Arabidopsis thaliana: one gene and its partner. The protein of the gene in region 1 interacts with the protein of each later gene in a pairwise test. Each region holds a gene or a part of one and is shown on either strand. Other genes may lie near its edges. The genes, in order: ERF-1 and AT5G41650.

What was found.
Region 2: the proteins of ERF-1 (region 1) and AT5G41650 interact in a two-hybrid assay, tested with the Arabidopsis thaliana proteins (one large-scale study listed by BioGRID).

What each region holds. Positions count from the first base shown.
Region 1 is NC_003075.7:9,757,218-9,761,220, forward strand, and holds ERF-1 (ethylene responsive element binding factor 1), read left to right. Parts: upstream 1-1,985; 5' UTR 1,986-2,187; coding exon 2,188-2,994; 3' UTR 2,995-3,174; downstream 3,175-4,003.
Region 2 is NC_003076.8:16,652,971-16,656,416, forward strand, and holds AT5G41650 (Lactoylglutathione lyase / glyoxalase I family protein), read left to right. Parts: upstream 1-1,942; 5' UTR 1,943-1,985; coding exon 1,986-2,149; intron 2,150-2,321; coding exon 2,322-2,454; intron 2,455-2,551; coding exon 2,552-2,608; 3' UTR 2,609-2,890; downstream 2,891-3,446. Other genes in the region: AT5G41640 (hypothetical protein (DUF626)), read right to left, coding at 367-734, 1,032-1,077, 1,187-1,318, 1,618-1,665.

The DNA of each region.
Region 1 (4,003 bases):
TCTTTGTTGCCAGAACAAAAGTATACCATCTTTGTCGAAGAACTCAATTGCAGTGGGAATGCACGTGTGGTTTTGTTTTCACGTACACAGATGTTTGTAGAAAGTTTGAAAATTCTTATGGTCAAAAGTCTCACACGACCGGATTTGGTCAATTTCAAAGCTGATGTGTCATAGACTCATTCACTCATATGCTTCCCCTCTTTCAAATGTATACCATTTTTTTTTGTTAAACTCAATAAATTATTAAGAGAAACTCAAACTATTAAGTATGTAAACTAATGTCTTATATATTCTAATTTTTTAACGTATCTTTGTTTTAACGTATCTTTTAAACTACAGATTCGGATGATTACGAAAATTAATAATTATGAATATTCAAATAAAATGGACAGTAATTCTTATATAAAAAATCCTTTTGTCAATAATCTAACCAATGATTCACTCCAAACTCATCTGACATCTCTATAGGCCCTTATTATGATTGGTATGTCCATTTTGGAAGTCGTCATGACTTATGAGCATAAAATGAATACATGAATACATGTTTTGCAGTTTTTTTTTGCTTCTTAAACAGTTGATGTCTTTAATTTGTTTCTTGTAAGTTTAAGATGTTATCTATTTATATACCTTGTTTCGAAATTTGATTGTCCCATTATGTTTCTGACGTGGAATTAAAACCCAATGAGAATGGGGTCCTCCTGTTAGATTTTCCAACAACGATAAGAATATAGAGGTTGATGTGATTTAAAACCAATAGAGGCAGCGCAATTGAGTAATCATCATCTTACCATCCTTCCTCGAAGTAGTCTTCATTGCAAGTTGGCAAAAGCGAGAGACCCACCCATTCACTTTTTAACTTTTAGTTTAGCTCGACATGAGAGAAATTATATTATGAACAACTATCTTTAGTTTAGCTCACATGACGGGGTTTTTTTTTTGAGAAAAGAAAATTTTGAATTTTTGGTTTATCATACAGGAACTATCTTTCTCCGGCGGGAATTTGGAAGTCATTATGCCCATTAAGGAGTCATAATATATATTTGTAGTTATTATTGTATCTGGTGTCAAACAAAAATTAATGTTAGTTGTACATTGTGAGATCTAAAACCTCGAGAGATGAAGTCTTAGTAATGTTTGAACAAACAATAATCACGTTTTCCATCAAATTCGAGCATTTAAAGTTTATATTACTACATGCCCCAAGATGATACCGTCCATCTCATCCGAAAATATTTCTGAAATTGCGCTAAGACAACAATGTTTGCTCAAATTCGATCATTTAAAGTTTACAAATCTCTCATCACTCTTACAAACTTCTCACACTAAACAGAGGTACATATTTTCTTATAAAGACAAAAGGTTCGAACAGCTGGCTTCTCAACTCGAGTTGTTTGTCAGGGCCTCTCTTCACTAACTACAAGTTGGTACTTCAAATATTGGTGGCTAGCTTCACGTGATATTGTCTACAAATTAAACCCATGAAAAAGCTGCATTAATTGTTCCAAGTGAACCCTGAGGAGTGTCAATAGTCTTTGCTTTAGTGTGATCATTAAACCAAATCTCTAAATTCCTAATTTGTACTAACATTTGGAACGTATTTCCTACTCTTCTCCCTGCTCCAACTCCCAAAAATAAGATTAGTTAGATTTCTATAACTAATATACATGTATACTCCCAAAAACAGTAAAACCATATTAATAAAGCTAATTTTGCATAGATTTATTTCGGTAAACCGGCGGTTCAAGTTGGGGAAAAAAAAGACAAACGGTCTAAAGTCATCCAAAGACAAAAAACCAAAGACAAGTTGAGAGAGACGAGACCAATCACAACATTGCTTCGTAGATTGCGTGACATCATCCTTGACGGCTACTTTCATTTGTGTCTTATTTGGATAAAACGCACGTGTTTAATTCACGAACCTTCATAGCAATAAGAAATTTCCATTACTTTCATATTTTCAACTTTTTTTATTACCCATTACATGCTTAAAATATTAATTCACAAGTCTTTGTCAAAATTCAATATTTTCCAGGTTCATGAACCCTTTTTATCTCAATCTACTCTATAATATCTCCCTATAAATTACAACAAAACCTCTTTATTTTTCATTCACACCGGACATTTTGAAATCTCAACAAGAACCAAACCAAACAACAAAAAAACATTCTTAATAATTATCTTTCTGTTATGTCGATGACGGCGGATTCTCAATCTGATTATGCTTTTCTTGAGTCCATACGACGACACTTACTAGGAGAATCGGAGCCGATACTCAGTGAGTCGACAGCGAGTTCGGTTACTCAATCTTGTGTAACCGGTCAGAGCATTAAACCGGTGTACGGACGAAACCCTAGCTTTAGCAAACTGTATCCTTGCTTCACCGAGAGCTGGGGAGATTTGCCGTTGAAAGAAAACGATTCTGAGGATATGTTAGTTTACGGTATCCTCAACGACGCCTTTCACGGCGGTTGGGAGCCGTCTTCTTCGTCTTCCGACGAAGATCGTAGCTCTTTCCCGAGTGTTAAGATCGAGACTCCGGAGAGTTTCGCGGCGGTGGATTCTGTTCCGGTCAAGAAGGAGAAGACGAGTCCTGTTTCGGCGGCGGTGACGGCGGCGAAGGGAAAGCATTATAGAGGAGTGAGACAAAGGCCGTGGGGGAAATTTGCGGCGGAGATTAGAGACCCGGCGAAGAACGGAGCTAGGGTTTGGTTAGGAACGTTTGAGACGGCGGAGGACGCGGCGTTGGCTTACGACAGAGCTGCTTTCAGGATGCGTGGTTCCCGCGCTTTGTTGAATTTTCCGTTGAGAGTTAATTCAGGAGAACCCGACCCGGTTCGAATCAAGTCCAAGAGATCTTCTTTTTCTTCTTCTAACGAGAACGGAGCTCCGAAGAAGAGGAGAACGGTGGCCGCCGGTGGTGGAATGGATAAGGGATTGACGGTGAAGTGCGAGGTTGTTGAAGTGGCACGTGGCGATCGTTTATTGGTTTTATAATTTTGATTTTTCTTTGTTGGATGATTATATGATTCTTCAAAAAAGAAGAACGTTAATAAAAAAATTCGTTTATTATTATATTTAACCTTCCAATCATTCCATTTATTAGTGGAATCAAACTTTTTTCTAAAGAAAACTATAACATTCGTAGAAAACAAATCATATTCCAATTACAAGTGGGATCATTTTTGTTTAGGAAAATGATAACATTTGTGAGAAAATTCAATTTTCTGAATTTTTAATACATAGTAGAAGAAGATATGTAGACAGATACATATGTACAACACATGAAATTTTTGACTTTCTGAAATAAATTAGTACAATCTTTGTTAATGCTTAAGCAAAAAACGTCACCACAGTTTTAATTAGTTGGTTCGTTAATAACTATTAGTGTTTTAAAATATTATTTTACAACTATTTTAAAATTTATCTGGTGTATTGTTGATGTTAACATTATATTTATTTTAGATGTATCAGTAGACAACCCAATTATTGGAGAAAAAGACAGTCAAATAACTAACAAAAAACAACAACTAAATCAAACAAAAACTGATATAAACATACGACCAAACAGGAGATTCTGATAGAAAGATAACAGCTACAAATAGTAAAGAGATAGTCCCAAGACAACCATAAATAGTATCTTCGACTCTGTGCTTCAAAGGAGCTAGAGAGAATCCGCTGCTGCTACTCTTACCTTGTGGGAGTTGCTGTTCAATATCATTCACAAAATCACATCCCAATCATATGTTTATTTATCCATCTCAGTGTGAAATATATGCAATTAAAAATGTATCACGATATATATATTCAGCTAAATTATCGATTAAAATTTATATATCTATCCACTTTTAAATTTCTTCAAACTCTTTCATGGAGGTTTAAAAGTCAGGAGATATATTTAGATATTTTTCTTGCATCATCTTCAATATCTCAACTCAACTAGAACATTGACTTAAATTAATTTTATTTTAATATTTGAAAGAGTTTTAGACGTAAACTCGAGCTT
Region 2 (3,446 bases), on another chromosome or scaffold:
GAATTTCAATTTGTTGTTGTTTTACTTTTTTATTTGGAAATTTGAAAAGAAGAAAAAAAGTTGCAAATGCAATGATTAGTTAAATTTGAAATTTTAAATCGCTAGATCGTTAGCGACTTTTTCTTTAGCTACTTAGCTTTGTTAAACTATGAAAACAAACATCTTCATCCAACATGTTGGCTTTGATTTGTGTTAAACAATAATCACACAATTTCATATAATCTAATTTTAACATTTTATATTCACGAACACAAAACACTTGCTATCATACTTTTTGCTTTGGCTTGCTGTTAAAATATTGTCAAAGCAACATTTTTTTGTAGTTCTTTTCCATTGTTTTAGAATTTTTAAACCGTTATTTAAAGGTTAGTACTTAGTAGATTTTATTTTTATTACTAAGTATGTTTCTGGAATATATGAAAAGGACATGTCATTAAGTTTTTGCGTAGGACACTCGTAAATGTCGGACCAGACCCAAATCGGATTTGATAACCTTATTTCGACCCTCGACAATGAAGCGTCCATTATGCTCATTGAAGCTTCGTTTAACAATAGCTTTGCGATCAACATCCTTACCAACCGAGACTCATAAAAGTCCTTGTACACTATGTAGACAATCACATTAATGACATTGAGTGATACCTCATTAGGTGGCTCCACATCTTCACTACTTTCAAAAATTTTCAAGTCGGAGAGATCATGATATTTACCATTGCTCCTATGAGTTGTGGCAACTGCAACTTCCAAATATAGAAGAATCCAGTCATTGACTTGCAGCTTTGATTCCTCCACCACGTAAAATCGCTTTCTATTTTCGAAAATATCCTCCGAGGGACACTTAAGCAAATCACCTTTGACGTAGAAATAGCATTCAGTTATCAAAGCTCCATCCTAAGTGATTTTTCCTCGAGGTCTAGCAATAGGGAATTTCAAAATAAACTTGCCAAAACGTTCTTCATCAACTTTAGTTTGAAAATTCAAAAGTTTGCTGCGAGCTGGATCCATAGCAACCAAAGTTATGTAGTAATTACAAGCAGCATAATGCGTACTCATATTGTATTTCTTTACACGACTAAGCTGTAAATTCTTCCCATGATGATCAAACAAAAAAAAATGAATTGTGGTGCAATACAACAATTGACAAACAAAAAAGAGATCGAGAAGAAGAGTATTGACTTAGAATTACCTTCAACAAATTGTAACGATGAAGACCCATCCTAGCATAAAGGCGGACTAAGGTACAACAAGGTGACCACCTTTTATCACAGATGGATTTTTGAAGTTCAGGACCATCACTCGCTTCTGTAGTATCGAACCCCTAAGATATTCATTTAAGTTATCATTAATCTCTATCTGGTAACCGATTTAAAAACAAATCTCTTAATTATATAAGAAGCTAAGAAGATTACCTTGTATTTCTTCACTCATTTCGTAAAATTTTGACTTATGACGAAAATTATTATTCAAAGCCTCTTTGTTTCAATTGGCAGCGACATCGTCCTCTCCCTCATAAAGCTTGTGTATATGTGTCGTTCCGAAATAAGGAACCCTAGAAGTTTAAGAATTATGGTCAATTTTATTAGATTACGTCCCCAAATTCATCCCTTTGTGTTTTACCTTTTCGCTTTTGAGCCATAACAACATCGTCTGAACCAAGCGGCTCATGCTTTTGTTCCACACAATCAATTTAGGATTGTCCACTCTATTATCTAATCCAGTCCACTGATTTATGGGTTTTATTTGGGCCTTAACAACCCAAAAATTCTCTTTCCTTTTTTTCAAATAAACCAATAGCTATCTCATATCTGGTTTATATTGCAGAGAGTGCGACACGGTACCATTTAGAGGTGAGCCCGAAAGAAGCCCAATAATGTGTATTGGGCCAATCTTTTTTTTGTTTTTGTTTTTGTTTTTTGGGTCAAATGGCCAATCTTTTTTTTGTATTGTGTTTTATTTTACACTCGTTCGTCTTCGTCTAGAGAGAGATGGCGACGGCGTCGTTTAGGTGGATTCTGCAGCTTCACAGAGACGTACCAAAAGCTGCTCGATTCTATGCTCAAGGTCTCGACTTTTCCGTCAATGTCGTCACTTTACGCTGGGCTGAGCTCCATTCTGGTCCTATCAAGCTAGCTCTTATGCAATCTCCTAGGTTTTATCTCCTCTTTTGTTCCATTATTGCTCAAAGCACACAACCTGTTTGATCATTTGCCTCAATGAAAACTTTCTGAGTTTATTCCCTTAAAATAACTTCCGGATTTGGACTTTTGTGTTACACTGTTTATCGCTGAGAAGACCTCTCAAAGACTTTCTTTTTTCCGCAGCAATCATGTTGCTGAGAAGGGATACTCATCGCTTCTATCGTTCACAGTCACTGACATTAATACAACAGTGACTAAACTTATGGCTTTAGGAGCTGAATTAGATGGCACTATCAAGTATGAGATACATGGAAAGGTTACAATTTCTTATGAAGATGTTCAAGTTTCATTTCATACTTACTTGCTGAAATGGGATTTGAAGTATTTTTGCGGTTGTTTTTTTGTTTTACTAGGTTGCGGCTATGAAATGCCCTGATGGTTACATGTTAGGCCTTTATGAGGCTGCATGAGCAAATGAATAGAATTGAAGCCTGAAAGGAAGCCAATTATGCATAGAGTAGATTTGTTTAGAGATCATATCCATAATCTCTTTGAAGCTATTGTATACTTCTTAGAAACCTAAGCCACTATTATACTTTATATTGGTTCATGTTTAACTTGCTCTTCACATTGTTTCTCTAGTAAGCTTTTCTCAAGTCAATTTTTTTCCATTCATTATATATAATATCCTGAAAGTGACGGATTCATTTCTACACAATGCTTTGAAATTGACAAGATCTATTGAAGTGGACTTAATGGAGTTTTGTTTAGTGCTTTTGTAGTTGTTGAAGGGTTGACTAAATGTTGTTAGGTCAGCATTTTACAAAACTGCCCTCAAGTTTTGGAGCATTACTACTTTAGTCCATGCCTCCATATGGTTTATATTGATTTTTATGAAGTGGGTTGATTTTTCAAAGATCTTGTCAAGATTATGATAAATTGGGGACCATTATGTTTGTAGTTGGTTACAAACAAATACAACAAAAATTATGCACCGAATCCTAAATGTTGGACATTACCAATGCACTTTCATCTAGTGCTTAATTACTTAGAGATATTTTGCAATTTAAAATTCTTTTCCAAGTAAAATCTATTAACTTTCATTGATTAATCTTTGAAATTTCGACATGCAATGCAAGAATGGAATCGCCCCTTTCAAATATGACAAAATACTAGGTGGTCAAATCGTGTAACTTAGTATATTTATACATTTCCTCAAATACTTTCGGGACAGTAAAAATAGTTTTGGAGATAGTTAAATTTGATAGCACTCTAAAATACAAGTATTAAATGGTAGTCTTCACAAAG